Linked DNA regions of Saccharomyces cerevisiae S288C. The gene in region 2 interacts genetically with the main gene of each other region. Each region holds a gene or a part of one and is shown on either strand. Other genes may lie near its edges.

What was found.
Region 1: of OPT2 (region 2) and CTA1, changing one enhances a phenotype caused by changing the other (phenotypic enhancement), as found in Saccharomyces cerevisiae (one study listed by BioGRID).

What each region holds. Positions count from the first base shown.
Region 1 is NC_001136.10:965,406-971,358, forward strand, and holds CTA1 (catalase A), read right to left. Parts: upstream 4,276-5,953; coding exon 2,728-4,275; downstream 1-2,727. Other genes in the region: CHL4 (Chl4p), read left to right, coding at 1-1,084; ubiquitin-protein ligase RMD5, read right to left, coding at 1,152-2,417; RKM4 (ribosomal lysine N-methyltransferase), read right to left, coding at 4,585-5,953. UniProt on the Saccharomyces cerevisiae protein: Catalyzes the degradation of hydrogen peroxide (H(2)O(2)) generated by peroxisomal oxidases to water and oxygen, thereby protecting cells from the toxic effects of hydrogen peroxide.
Region 2 is NC_001148.4:921,346-930,709, forward strand, and holds OPT2 (Opt2p), read right to left. Parts: upstream 5,593-9,364; coding exon 2,959-5,592; downstream 1-2,958. Other genes in the region: AQY1 (Aqy1p), read left to right, coding at 515-1,432; HPA2 (histone acetyltransferase), read right to left, coding at 1,564-2,034; YPR195C (uncharacterized protein), read right to left, coding at 6,620-6,949. UniProt on the Saccharomyces cerevisiae protein: Transports tetra- and pentapeptides. Does not transport glutathione.

The DNA of each region.
Region 1 (5,953 bases), on a different chromosome or scaffold from region 2:
AAGTAAACCAGAGAAATTTAAGTGGCTTCCATCAAAAGCTTTACGGGGAGATGGGAAACCTTACGTAGTAAAGCTCCAACCTGCCAAATTTATAGAAAATTTACAAACAGATCTAGCGAAAATTTACCATTGTCATGTTTACATGTTTAAACATCCCTCTTTGCCAGTGTTAATTACCAGAATACAGCTATTTGACAGCAATAATTTATTTTTGAGTACGCCTAATATAGGGAGTATAAATAAAGAGTCTCTTTACAACAAGTTAGACAAATTCCAAGGGAAACCATTAATATCAAGGAGACCATATTACGTTGCATTCCCGCTAAATTCTCCAATAATTTTCCATTCAGTTGACAAGGATATTTATGCTAGACTAGTTTTGCAGAGCATTAGTCGAACGATATCAGAAAGAGAAACAATCATCTTCAAACCGGTACAGAAAATACCCGTGAAATCAATACATAATATAATGACTTTATTAGGACCTTCGAGATTTGCGGAGTCTATGGGCCCATGGGAATGTTATGCTAGTGCTAACTTTGAACGGTCACCACTACACGACTACAAAAAGCACCAAGGCCTTACTGGTAAAAAGGTAATGGTTAGAGAATTTGATGATTCTTTCTTAAATGACGATGAGAATTTTTACGGAAAAGAAGAACCTGAAATTAGACGACTAAGGTTAGAGAAAAACATGATCAAATTCAAAGGTTCAGCAAACGGCGTAATGGATCAGAAATATAATGATTTGAAAGAATTTAACGAACATGTCCACAATATTAGGAATGGAAAGAAAAATGAAGATTCTGGTGAGCCAGTGTACATTTCTAGATACAGTTCCTTAGTTCCTATTGAAAAAGTTGGATTCACTTTAAAAAACGAAATAAACAGTAGAATAATTACCATAAAATTGAAATTTAATGGTAATGATATTTTTGGGGGATTACACGAACTATGCGATAAAAATTTAATAAATATTGATAAAGTTCCTGGGTGGTTGGCTGGAGAAAATGGATCGTTCTCAGGAACGATAATGAATGGAGATTTTCAGCGAGAGCAGGTTGCTAAAGGTGGTTTACTGTAGAAAACTACTGTGTTCTGTTATCGCTTCCAATAAAAAAAAAAAAAAAAAACCTATGCAAAAATTTCAGTCAAAGCATAACAAAACGAACCTTTTTTGTACTGCTCATTGAAGTATTTACGGGGCAGTATGGGCACTTGAAAGTAATTGTTCCGTTCTTCGATAATCTGTCTAGCGCCTTTTTAGAAATGATGTGATGGCATGCCAGTGAATAAGGAGGATTTTCTGTAGTGGTTTCCTCCTTTAAGACGGGACAGATGAAGATCGGATGGAAATGAGTCAGAAAATCTGGTAACTTGACATCAAATGGCAACTCATCTTTCGTAGTCCAGTCAACGTGCGCTAACTCCCTGATGGTTTTGTATTTGATGAAAAATTGGAAAGAAATTAAACCACTCAATACTATCAAAAACAAGGGAGAGTCAAAGAAAATATGTTTTGCAGCACAATATTCTTTTATAAATAACGACGTGCATTCTTTTAATTCCTTATTTACTTTAGAATCAATATCTTCAATAGGTTGACCTATTAGCGATTTAGTTAATAATGGTACGACGTTTTGCATTAATTCCTTCTCCCTATGTCTAAAGCAATCCAGGGGTGCGTTCTGTGTTATTTGGTAGTACAACTCTACCGGATTTCCATGCTTCACTATCTGCATTGCTGACAAAGTGTATAAATCAAATTTTAGGGACGATAAAGCCGTATGGTTAGATGATAAGCTTTCCATTTCATTGGAGCACCATTTCAGACAGCTTTCTGTGTCACCCTTTTTAAGATCATGTACGATTTGGCCCATCTCAATAAATTCAGTAGATTCTTTATTAGTAATTCCGTAGACATCTTTTAGATACTGGAAAGCCTCATTTTTATTTCCTAATGGCATGTTGTCTATACTATACCTCAAAATATGGTAACCGATGGCTTCATTAACATTTTCCATTGTCTCTTTCGGTAATTTATTGACATATACGCTATCTATATCAAATTCTTTTAATTTGTTCAGCGTGCTTTTGTTGAAGCGATTCGACTGCTGAGAAACGTACTTTATTTGTTTCTTTACTGAATGGTCCCATTGCCTCTGTGACTTGCTTAGCTTCTCAATAATTAGTTCTCTTTTTCTCTTAAACTTTTGTTTCTCCTTATCACTCAGCTTATTATAGACTTCTGGTTTTGATTCCTGAATATGCTTGTTTAAGTGCGCTTTCAACTTCTTTAATTGACTCTTGAATTCATGAGTATGATCAAGACATTTTTGAAGGTTTGTCTCTTCCAGATTGCTGTCGGTATAAAATTTCGCAAACTCTGTCTCAAAGCTATCTAGTAATTCAGACATCGTTTCTTGGTTCCCTACTCAGTGCTGCATCTCTCTTGAAGACACACTTATCTCATACTGAATGTGTTGAACTTTACCCCTAATAATAGAGATTCCTCAGCTTTTTCCCCGGCGCGACGAGCTTTCCTATGTGTGAAATGATAATTTTTTTAACTTTCTAACACGAGAATATGAGCATCACCTATTAGTCGTATAAATAAATAATTCATAACAAAATACATAAATTGTAATAAATAAAATGTGTTAAAAATACACACTATCATAAATAATTGTCGTGGAAACAACGCCACTCATTTGTTACTTGAGCGTTTCAAAATTTGGAGTTACTCGAAAGCTCAGAAGCATGTTTTGCCTCAGCTACTTTTTTAATTGCCTCAGATAGTCCCTTATCAACACGAGCAAACATATCATAAACGCGCTGCTGTATTTGAGGACAGGCGCCTTCTACATGAATGCCGATGTTATATGCCAAGTTCTTTTGCTGTCCAGGTTGTTTACCCAAAACGCGGTAGAGATTTCTTGCTTGCACGAAATCTACATCACCTGGGGATGTTGCCCAATGATAAGGGATAGCTGGCCCATTCCATACCTCTTGGTGTTGTTGAATGGGTCTGTCCTGTTGGATATACGTGTACGATTTATCGTTGGCCAAATATGTAGGTTCTGAGCCGAAGTTGCCGTTAACATTCATCGGTCCATCTCTGATAGCGGGATTGAAAAATTTAGATGCATATGGACAGTTTACGGGTATTTGATGGAAGTTAGGACCTAGCCTGTATCTATGAGCATCCGCATATGAAAACAAACGGGCCTGTAATACTGGATCAGCGCTTGCTTCTTGGTAAGGAACCGTGGTACTGGGGGCGAAGGCAGCTTGTTCCACCTGTGCGAAGAAGTTCAGTGGATTCTCGTTCAAAACAATCTTACCCACACGCCGTAAAGGGAATTGCCCCTGAGGCCATACTTTAGTCAAATCAAAGACTGAAAATGGTAATTTTTTGGCATCGCGTTCGGTCATTGTTTGAATATAAACTGTCCAGGAAGGATAGTTTCCATTCTGAATAGCCTCAAATAAATCCTGCTGGCAGTAATCTGGATTGGATCCCGCAATTTTGGTAGCCTCTTCTATGGTCAAATTCTTTATTCCTTGATCGGTTTTGATATGAACTTGCACATAATGCCAATCTCCGTTTTTATTGGACCATTTATAGGTATGACCAGAATAACCATGCATACTACGGTAGTTGGCAGGGGTACCACGGTCTGAAAAAAGGATCATTACTTGATGAATGGCCACCTGATTTTCAGGAGTGGTGAGGAAATCCCAAAACATGTCAGCATCCCTTAGGTTGGTTTGTGGGTTTCTCTTCTGTGTGTGGATAAAGTGAGGGAACTTGGAAGGGTCTCTGATAAAGAATACCGGTGTATTATTGTAGACCCAATCTAAATTACCTTCTTCAGTGTAGAATTTGGTGGCAAACCCCCTTGGATCACGAACCGTGTCGGCACTACCTTTATCACCACCCACAGTCGAAAATCTTGTTAGACATTTCGTTCTTTTCCCAATTTTACTAAACATAGCAGACCCGCAGATATCAGTAATGTCATCGGTTACTTCAAAATAGCCGAAGGCACCAGAACCATGAGCATGTGGATTCCTTTGAGGAATATTTTCCCTGTTGAAATGAGCCAAAGAATCAATTAAGTTATAATCTTGCAAAAGCAAAGGGCCATGTTCCCCAATACGTTGGGTGACAAATGGTTCATTGATTGGATTACCAGTGGAGTTTGTCACAACTCTATCCTCTCTTACATCAGAGTAATTTACTTCATTTTTTTCTTGTCCCAATTTCGACATCTTCTAGGGTTCCAAATTTATTTGTAAGTACTATTATATTTATTTAACTTACCTTTTAAATAAACCTACAAGAAATTCAAATGTACGATTTGGACATTACAGTGAAGAATGCTTTCTACATCTCTTTATATGTATGGCGATATCAAAACTGGTTGTTTCTCCAATTCTGTCACTGTGGGGATTTTCGGAGTTTATATTTGTTAAAGCCGTCCTTTTTCGGATTAAGGGACCCCACCAACTTGCGCGGCTAATTCCGGCCAACTTTTTGCATTACTAATTGCGGCTTTAAATAGTGGTTAGAACAACCGCTCACTTCTTCACGCAAGGACGTTTGACAGAGCTTTTTTCTTCCTCTGTCAACTTTCTCTTTAAAATATTAGTTAGCAGCTTTTCATCAGGAATAACCTTGTAATTCTTGTCGATGGTTTCTTCACAAACTTGCAGCGAATCTATTTCGCTTTTCAAAACTCTCCGAGCCATAACATCTCTTAGTTCTTCCCTTGTTAATGAGTTTCCTTTCGAAGGTTTTTCGATAGAAACGCACTTTTTTATGGGGTAATCGGCTAGACGCTTCATAATACAACGTTTCCATGTGGCACTACAGTTTGTAGTGGCGCGGGCACCTTCTATCAATTGTAAACACTTCTTTACAATTCTCTCCACTTGCCTTTCCATTGCTTTTATGTCCAGTTTGCATAAACCTGGAATTTGGCAAAGAATTGTCAAGATTTGGACCAAAAGTATTAGTTGAGGCAACAATTCACCATTATTATAACAATCATATGAATCTAGTACTATTTCTTCACCTTCTAAGAATTCTTGAATATTGGCGTTATTGCGTAAGATATCAATACACCTGTCCAAAAATTCAGTATTCGTCTCAAAAGTCTCTTTTAACGCCTCGACAATATTTTCAAGTAACACTTCTCCAAAATCATACTTCGAACCGTCCCATTCAACATACCCATATCTTCTTAGTAGTTCCGAATTTGGATGTTCTCCGTATATGTTGTACACTTGTTCATTCTTTTCAATATCCCTCAAAGCAACCATCTTTAAACAGTTAGAGTCGTAAGTTAAATTAGCGTTGCATTTACTGGTATCTGCATTCAACATATCAGCAAGTGGAATCATCGATTTCAAGTAGCGCTCATTTTCAAGTTCTTCTTCACTGGTTTCTTCTTCTTCATTTTCATTTACACTACTATCTTGCATTTCCAAATCAAAGGAGTAACTCAATATAATGCTTGCAATATAGGCAAAATTATCAAACTCGAAGGACGTCGCTACACGTGAAAATTCTCCACCAATTTGTTTGATTGATTTAATAATTCTTTCATGCATCTCTTTGGCTTCCTTTTTTCCTATTCTTTCAAGGACAAGTGATGGTTTTAAAAGTTGCAGTTCATTATCATCCCAAAAAATTAACGCGTTCATATCGCTTGGTTTGTTCCAAACTTTAAAGTAAGGCGCCCATCGGCTTCTTTCTTGCAAAACTTCCATCTCATAAAGTATACAGATAATTAAACCTTCCCACGATCCGGTTTCGTTCAGGAACTTATCCTTGAGAGAAGGATAATCCTTTATCAGTTGAGATGTTGTAACGCTTAAAACAGAACTACGAGGTATTTTAAACAATGTTTCATCCTTCTTAATCTTTTGAGTGGCAACTACTGCG
Region 2 (9,364 bases):
ATCGGGATGCCATGAAAGCCGGCCCTCCCCACGCGTCCCCTAATTTTTTTCCAAGTGAATATCTGCATCGGCCACCGTTTTATATTACTTCGATAAGCTTGCCTTAAACTCATTATTGCCGTCGTTTATCCCTCAAAGCTTAATCTTACAAGAATTAGAAAGAAGAAAAGTTTATTCGTATAGACTTCCTTATGCCTGATGTCCTTCCACCCTCTTACACAGTAGGATTAGTCTAGAAGTGGTAAATTGCAGGATAGCATATACGCGACAAGGAAAAGAAAGAAGGAAAAATATTTTACGTCGGAAATTGTGTGATATGCCGTTTGAATTCGAGGTATATTAAGCGCAGTGCTTTTCCCTGCATCGCATTCTGTCTGTTCTTCCGAGTGTCGATTCCCACAATTCGTCTTGTCCTTTTGATATTTTGTTTTTTTTTTCCTTCTCTTTTTTTATTCTTTGTATTTGGTGCTGTCTGTCAATACGGCACATAAAGTAACATGTAATTAACTATAACATGTCTTCGAACGATTCGAACGATACCGACAAGCAACATACACGTCTGGATCCTACCGGTGTGGACGACGCCTACATCCCTCCGGAGCAGCCGGAAACAAAGCACCATCGCTTTAAAATCTCTAGGGACACCCTGAGAGACCACTTTATCGCTGCGGTCGGTGAGTTCTGCGGCACATTCATGTTTTTATGGTGCGCTTACGTTATCTGCAATGTCGCTAACCATGATGTCGCACTCGTTGCAGCGCCTGACGGTTCCCATCCGGGTCAATTGATTATGATTGCCATCGGTTTCGGATTTTCCGTCATGTTTTCTATCTGGTGTTTTGCCGGTGTCTCTGGTGGGGCTTTGAATCCTGCTATGTCGCTTTCGCTGTGCTTGGCGAGAGCCGTCTCTCCTACAAGATGTGTCGTTATGTGGGTTTCGCAGATTGTTGCTGGAATGGCCGCTGGAGGCGCTGCAAGCGCCATGACACCTGGTGAAGTCCTCTTTGCCAATTCTTTGGGCCTGGGCTGCTCTAGGACGAGGGGTCTGTTCCTGGAGATGTTCGGCACCGCTATCCTATGTTTAACAGTCTTAATGACGGCTGTGGAGAAGCGTGAAACCAACTTTATGGCTGCGCTGCCCATCGGCATCTCCCTGTTTATCGCACACGTCGCTTTGACTGCATACACAGGCACAGGTGTCAACCCTGCGAGGTCCTTGGGTGCTGCTGTCGCAGCCAGATACTTCCCTCATTACCACTGGATTTATTGGATTGGCACGCTGTTAGGATCCATTTTAGCATGGTCTGTATGGCAATTATTGCAAATCTTAGACTACACAACCTACGTTACCGCTGAAAAGGCTGCCAGCACCAAGGAAAAAGCTCAAAAAAAAGGTGAAACCAGCAGTTCCTCTGCTGTGGCTGAAGTCTAATTTTTCCCTCCTTTTCTTTATTTCTCGCTCACTAGCACTTAATGTTATAATACTCGGCAAAAACTAGTAAGATTAATTGTTTTTAATTTTTTTTTTTCTATACATCCATACTACTGAGGTAATTAGTGTTTTTAATATCCCTTCCTCTTGTATAATATTTTTGGGGCTTTATAGCCGACCTTGACGTATAGCAGCTGAGCTCTATGGTTTGACTCATCCGTACACCAATACACGCTTGGTGTGCCCAGTTTATCAGCTTCGTCGTAGACAAATTGGATTAGTTTGCCGCCCGCGCCTTTGACCCTAGAATTCTCATCAACATAGAGATCGTTGATGTATATCTTGTCCTTGAAATCCCAAGTAGTCATATGGTTGAAAAAGTTTATCATTCCAATAATTTTTTCGCTCGAACTTTCCACAGCTACGGCTGCCCACATTTTAATGTTAGGATCTAGGAATCTGCCGAAATTGAAATCGTCCAAGTCATCGGGAAAAGAGACTTCATAAAAATCTTGATAGGATTTCCAAAGCCTTTGCCAACCCTCCTTATCGTTTTCGGTTACAAACCTTACGGTAATGTTATCTTCGCTAGTGTTGGACATGCTACACAGAAAGGGCTGTTTGCTTTCTTGGCATATAAAATACTAAGAGCAATACTTAGCCCTTTTTGCTCTATTTATAGCGTTCCCTCTCTTAATGATTGCCGCTCCCCTAATATAATTGGTAGTTCTTGCCACCCGTTAGTTCCGTCCATAAAAATGTTCAACCAATAAAAGCAAATCAAGAAGTGACTGAGAAGTACAATGAACTATGACGTTAAAAGGCTAACCCAATGCAGAAATTAAATAGAAATAAATACATTGTGTAGTCGGCCTGTAACTTGTATTTCGCAAACGTCTTATAAAGGCAAGAAAATTTCAAATGTTCGAAATCTGACATCAGCCGCATGCTATGTTGTCAATCTCTCTCAATACTCGGCTGGCTTAACCCTGAATCATCCCAAAAAACGGTGATACTGTATTTGAATATGCTTCAACCGGAGTAATTATCCAGTAGTGCAACGCATCTCATTCCAACTTGAAATATACGTTTACAAAACTATTTACCACTTGTATTTCTGCAATAATACCAAAATTCATGCAAAATAAACACCATCATTACTTGTAGTTGGAAGCAAAAAATATTCTTGATTGATTTTCAATTGCCAGGCTCCTTATCACTTCGTCGATGAGCCAAAAAAAAATGTAGTTCCTATTCTGGTATCAAAGCATTTTTCTTTATTGATAACATCCGCATACACAGAGAAAAGGCGAGAAGCATGAAAAGTGTCAAAAATATTGAACTAGAGTGTACTGTTATAGTTTTGGCAGGTATGAAGACAAAATGATGGCTTTTTACATATCAAAGTAACTCTGTACTATAGATAGAAGAATAAAAACTAAATACATGCAGGTGACTGATAGAAAAGACAAGTGCAGGGGAGAAAAAAAAATAAAGAAATGATAGCGTTCTAAGAAAAGTTCTAGTCATGGATAGTGTCCTGGAGCATAGCCGAAATAGCCATTTGCTGTATCAGTTATGTTCTTTAGAGGATAGCCAACGCCATCGGCACCAGCATACGGAACTGTATTGCCCCACCAATTAAAAGCTGTGTCTTTATATTGGACAGCAAAGAAAATGATAATAGCTGATAAAACCAAGCCCGTTGAAAAGCCTGCCGATAAAACATAATTATATTTCTCCCACAGATTTAAATGGTGTCTTTTCATGTAGTACTGGGAAATGTAACTAACAATCATACCAGAAGTGTAATACATCAGGTTATATGGAGGGCTCATATTAAGCATTCCACCTACAAATAACATTGGGTCAAAATATCTGGGATAAAACTTACCCCAGCGCTTCCAAACACCAAAAAATATGCCAATGCATGCGCCTATCAACCAACACCATTTAAATATTGGATAAATGTAATTGAAAATTCTTTTTGGCCCAATTGCACCCCAGACAACGGAAGCATTATAGTAGGTCACAGCATCAGGACAGGTGAATTTTGCGTTTTGATGAGGTGTGCAAAAGTCTTTGATATTGGAGATTTGCCAATTCAGAACACCTAGATTGACAAATATCTGAATGAAAACTATAACACATTGTCCCCTGAATAGCGCCATTGGCGGAATCTTACAATAATGCGCTATTTTTAAGTTAGAAACGTAATTATCTGCTTGGCCGTCGATGTTATAACCAAAAGCCTTCAAAATCATTATGGCGATTGGATTACCTGGTAAAGCGTACCCCATCACCATTTCAATTAGTAGATTCAAACCAAACGAATAACCAGTGGTTGCTTGAAGGATAGTAGTTGGAATCAAGAAAACAAAATTAAATCCTAAACAAACAAAAAGACCCCAAACTGGTGTATTTGTTGGGTAGTGCTCTACAACAGCTATTCCAACAACAAGTGAACCTATCAATATGGCAAAATACCACCAATCTGGAACTTCTTTATAGTTTTTCATGGCATTAGAATGTGGGTCATCATAATCGTCGAGCGCCCTGTAATCGCTTTTGAACATTGTGACCCAAGATTTAAGTTTTCTCATGGCCCACAAATTCAAAGCCCAATCTTTGAAAGCATTGAACAATAACTTTGAGTGTACAATAAACGACCATGTAATCATCAGAGGATATGCGCAAATGAAAGCACCATATGATACCAAATTTCCAGCACTATAGTATGGTGGCGAGTAGCTTTGATATTTTTTCACATCTAGCTTATTGTCACTGTCTAATACCTCAGTAACTTTAAAGGAATGGCCAGTATTAGTATACAAAGAATTTGTGAATATTGGCAGGTATTGGCAACTCATATAATTACTATAGTATACTGCAATAACAATTAAAGCTGCTAATATGCAACCAAGATATTGTGTTAAGTATGACCAAAATGGGTAAACTAAAGGAGAATTAAACGAAATAACATTCCAGTCAAAAGATGAGATAGGATTAATCCCAAGACCAGTGACTCCTCCCGTGATGTTTGCGAGATTAATGTTACTTGGCTTGATCCAGGTCATCCAATTGAAAGTGTTTAGAATATTAATAATGTAAGTGGGAAACCAGTTATAGATGAACATGATAAAAAAAGTCAAGAAAAAGAATTTATACCTGCTCATTCCAGATTCATGCTTTTCTTTACCCAATAGTGCCTTGTTGATAGCAATAGTTGGCATGACTGTTGGCCATAGTGCACGGGCTGGATAAACAACGAATTTTCTAAGGATGCCAGCAAATCCAAATCCAATAAATTGTACGGATAACGAAAGTAAAAATTGGTAGCCAAACGAGAAAGCAGAATGGTAAAAGAGTTTTTGCGTTAGAATATTGTAATGAGTATAGAACGCGCCTTGACAAATTGCATATAACAAGGTTGAAAACATTTGCTCTTTTTGGGTCCATGGTTTATCGATATTGATACCATACTTTCTGCCCCTGATGGTTATAGTCCAACAGGGGATAGTTTTAGCCCAAGCCTTACCACAGATATATAAAAACATTTGGATAATTGGAGTATTCAGTGAAATTGAAACCACCCTGTGTGAAAAAAACTCATTAAATCCTGAACCGATGACAGACCAAATTATTGCCAGAAAATATGCTCGGAATGTCTCCACTGGAATGGTGGGATCATCTTCTGGATCAACAACAGCTCTAACCTCTTGGTAAGGCGAATGAAATTTAATAGCAGAAGCAAATGCTCTAATGTCAAAGCTATCATATTCATCTATCCCCTCTTTTGAATCCAAGTCCTCCAAGTCAACCAATCTCTTCCACTCCTCATATTGATCGTGTGGAATGTTCTCATCATCCTTGAAATAGATGATAGAGTCTTTTAGTATTTTGAAGGAATCCTCAAGTGTCAATTCAGGCATTTTTTTGAGGATATACGCAACGTCTTCCGGAATATCATAAAGAGTGCGATTTTCATAACCCAGCTTCTTCATAAAGTGCAGTATCTGTTCATCCGTATACCACTGAGAAAAGTCTGATGAATGATTTGAAAGCCTCTCAGAATACTCAGCACCCTCGGCGTAATCAACAGTACCTTTTGTGGATACCTTCTCATCAATTATAACTTTATCTTTGACTGTTTCACTCATAATTTCTAATAATTCAACAGCAATATTGCGTATAACAAACCCTACTAGTTGTAGAATAAGCTAATATGTTCGTTTCTGCTATTAAAAAAATGCCGCCGTTGTTTAGACGTTCAATGTATGATTGTAAGTGTTTCAAATATTATTTTTTGGGATGTTTCGATAGGAATGAATATAAGTAACAACTGACTTGAGACATGACTTAAGTTTACACAGGATAGTGTTCCATTCCCATTTATAAATTTTTTTGAAGCGAGAAGAAACCTAGCAAGTTGATATCAATATTTTTTTTAATGTTACTTATCTTCATTGCTAATAATTCGTGAAATGATTGAAAATTTCCAATCCATGAACATTCAGAAGTAAGATAACAGCGTCCAATTGTAAAAGAACGCTATTATTATTGTAGATAAGAGAATAAACTTAAATAATCGAAGGTGTTACGAATCTTCATAAAACCCAATGGGCTGATATTGACAACCGCAATGGCGATTCACGTGTTCGGTAACCACAACAGGGGCCAAGAGGAAAACAAACTACATCAATTTTTGCAAAAGGTTAACAACGAAATGTGGGATTATTGAAAATTATAACGAAGAAACTACGTCGGACAGCAACCCCCCGATTTTTGTCGGTTGCTTTTACTGACACCATGATGTGAACCAAATTTTCTTTTGGTATTCCTCGCATAGTGTTGACTTCTTTTACCATGATAAAAATAATGAGATAAGAAGTGTTGCAGTAATATTATGTGTCACACCAGCGTGGCTGCCATATTTGAGACGGATTCGTCCGGTGGATGTGATGGATCCGTTTAATGCTGATCTCTCCTGCATTTTTTGTGAAAAATCAGATATCAATTATTGGTCTATCTGCTTTTGCCTGTTTGTTTTTTTTTCATTATAGAGTTCCTCAGTGAGTGGGATTGATGATGCGCACGGCACAATTGAAGCATTTGCTTATCAAAACATAAATATCTCCGTACCCAAATAGGAAAAACGCGTTAATGCAAAGTTGACACGTTCAGTTACTATTTCCTGAAATAATAATACAGCCCACAAAAACCCACCAATGACGCTTTTGTTGCTGAATCAGACGTTAAGTGCTGCTGCCTCCTCTGTTCTGCGCCGCCGGTTGTCTCATTACCTTTTCTGCCTATGATGATTGTATTGCAAGGCCCGAGTGGTTGCGTATGCCACGTACGAAAAGTTGTTACCGTGCCGTCACATCCCCTGCAAAGAATGTGGTACGGCACACTCCTGCTAGCTTGAGGCCCTATTCCAATGGCAATTGAGATGCTGCTTTCTCCTCTTACAATGTATGTTGATGCTTCCACTAAAAGAGGGATGAGAGAATTCATTTGACTGTGCAGTCAAATCTGTGATCTTTCTATTCTTGCTTATCTATATTCTGCCCTATTTATTTTTAGTAAAGTTTCGTATTTACATTTTTCATCATAGATCGCACCAGCGCGTGGGGCTCTTTCATTATCATCTCAACTAAATGACATACATTGCAAATACGTGAAATGAGCTGACTCAAAAAGAAATATTCTGAACTGTGAATACCAAACAAACTTAAAATAGCTGAAATTCACGTGTTGAATTACCGCATCGGTTAAGGAAAGGGAAAGTTTCTTCTCTAAATAAGGAGGAGCCTTTGCACATATGTAGATTATGTAAATACTATACTCTTTTTTTGCTTTTAGTACTTGGTATCCTACTAAATCTTTATTTTCTTTCGTTAGTGAAAAATATGAATTGAAGGATCAGTTCCTTCAAAAAGGTAAGAAAAGAAATGGACCATTCGATTAATGCTGGCACCAACATTCCACAGCACGGAATACAATTTTTGGTGTCCTTTACTTCAAGATTTGTTACTACGTGCGGCTTAGAATAACTTCATTATTTATCTAAACGACCCATAATTTTCGATGCTAAAGTCTAAAGTTGAGCAGGTAAGTTTATTAAAAACGTCTTTTTCATTACTGCTCTAGCGGGTAAAAGTCAATGACAGCAGACGCGGCAAGTTGTGACGCCTCATCGGATCCAAGAAACATTTATTTTTGCGTGCACGAGTAATCTAGCGAAACAATTTCCAAAAAATAAGTGAAAGAATATCTACTAATGCTTAGGATTACCAAATTCAAAAATAACCCTTTTAAAGTATAAACTTTGCATTTCAGAGATTCTCTGGCATGGCAAATATTACGAATAAGGAAAGCAAGGTAAGATATATTAGAAGGACCAAATTGTTAAAGAGACATCTAACAGGTGAGTTTGAAAAGTAATATATGGAAAGGATGGTAATACAGATTTAGCGCAAATAATAGTTGTATTATCAAATGAAATGTGAACTTTTTTATATGAAAGTCCATAGGGTAGACTACTGTCGCCATAATTTCGTAGAAGAAGAGAAATTCATGATAGGCGTCAGCATTATTACAGGCGCGGGTCTTAAATTTATGGAACTATAATTGTTGTAATTAAGATGAGGCCAAGATTAGGTGGGTAATATGTTTCATGCTTTTTACTACTACTGCAAGATTTTTTTTTCCACAAAGTTTATTTGTTGGCATTTCTAGTTACGAAACTCTCGTTGCTAACATCATGTTAGTCTGACAAGTTACATATTCGTTTCGACGTCGCCATTCTACGCACTTAGGCCAAATAACACATCTCTTTTACATTTGAAATTGCTACCATTTATTCCTGTTCGATCTTAAGATTGACTAAACCATAATCCGAGCCTAATATTCACGTTTAGGCGGGGGGTACTAAATCACAAAAAACAAGTGGCGAGCGAAGACCTTTTCAATTCTAATAACTCAGTTACACCCTCAACTTGTAATCAATGTACAAAACACAGTAAAATCGAAGATAAGAGATGTAAAACCATAGAGACAATTTGAAAACCTATAAACACACGTTTTATACTTTATCGTTATTACGAAAAATCAATTTTTGCTCGACCAAAAGCAGCCTTCGGACTGATATATCTAGGTCCGTTAGTTTAGTAGCTGTTGAGGTCATTGTAACCTCATGTACACCCTTAGGATCTTGAAGTTGCTGCTCTTTACTTCAGAGCATCTCTCATTTCGATGACTTCGCATTTTTTTGAATACTGCCTTCCCACTCCCATCTTTTACAGCTTCCTAACGATACTACGATACTACGATGCTACATATTACAGAGATACAAAATAATAACTCTTATAAGAAAGAAAAATAATATGTATTGTACAAATTACACTATTAACGAACAAGAAATGGGCTCTAGTGGAAGAGTTAAATCACAGAGAAGGGGTTAAATATCTCTTTGAGTAAAAAGTTTAAAGAGCAAAGATTATTTGTTTTGTAAGAACCATTGCAGATAACTTTTCCTGTTTCTTACCTCCGAACAAATCCATGTCGCCCATATCACCAAACTTTGAACCATGACCATGTTGGAGGTACGCAATTATCTGTATCATTATAGATCAATTTAGTGCTCGGAAGTCAAGTGCACAATGAAAGTCATGCAAAAAGTTTGTGGCTTAGCATCTCGTGAGGATATGGAAGACTATATGGAAGGCTGCTCTGTTTAGTCACATGATTCTTTCCCAACTCTTTCGCCAGCTTGCGTGTTCTTTTTTACTCTAGCAAAAAAATCGAGCCGGAGTTAATGACCGGAAATACACGGATTTCATATTAAAGTTTTTTGAGCAACACGTAAGGTAAAAGTCACAATCATGTTCACCTAAGTGATATCGTACGATAGTTGCGTATCTGTGCTAA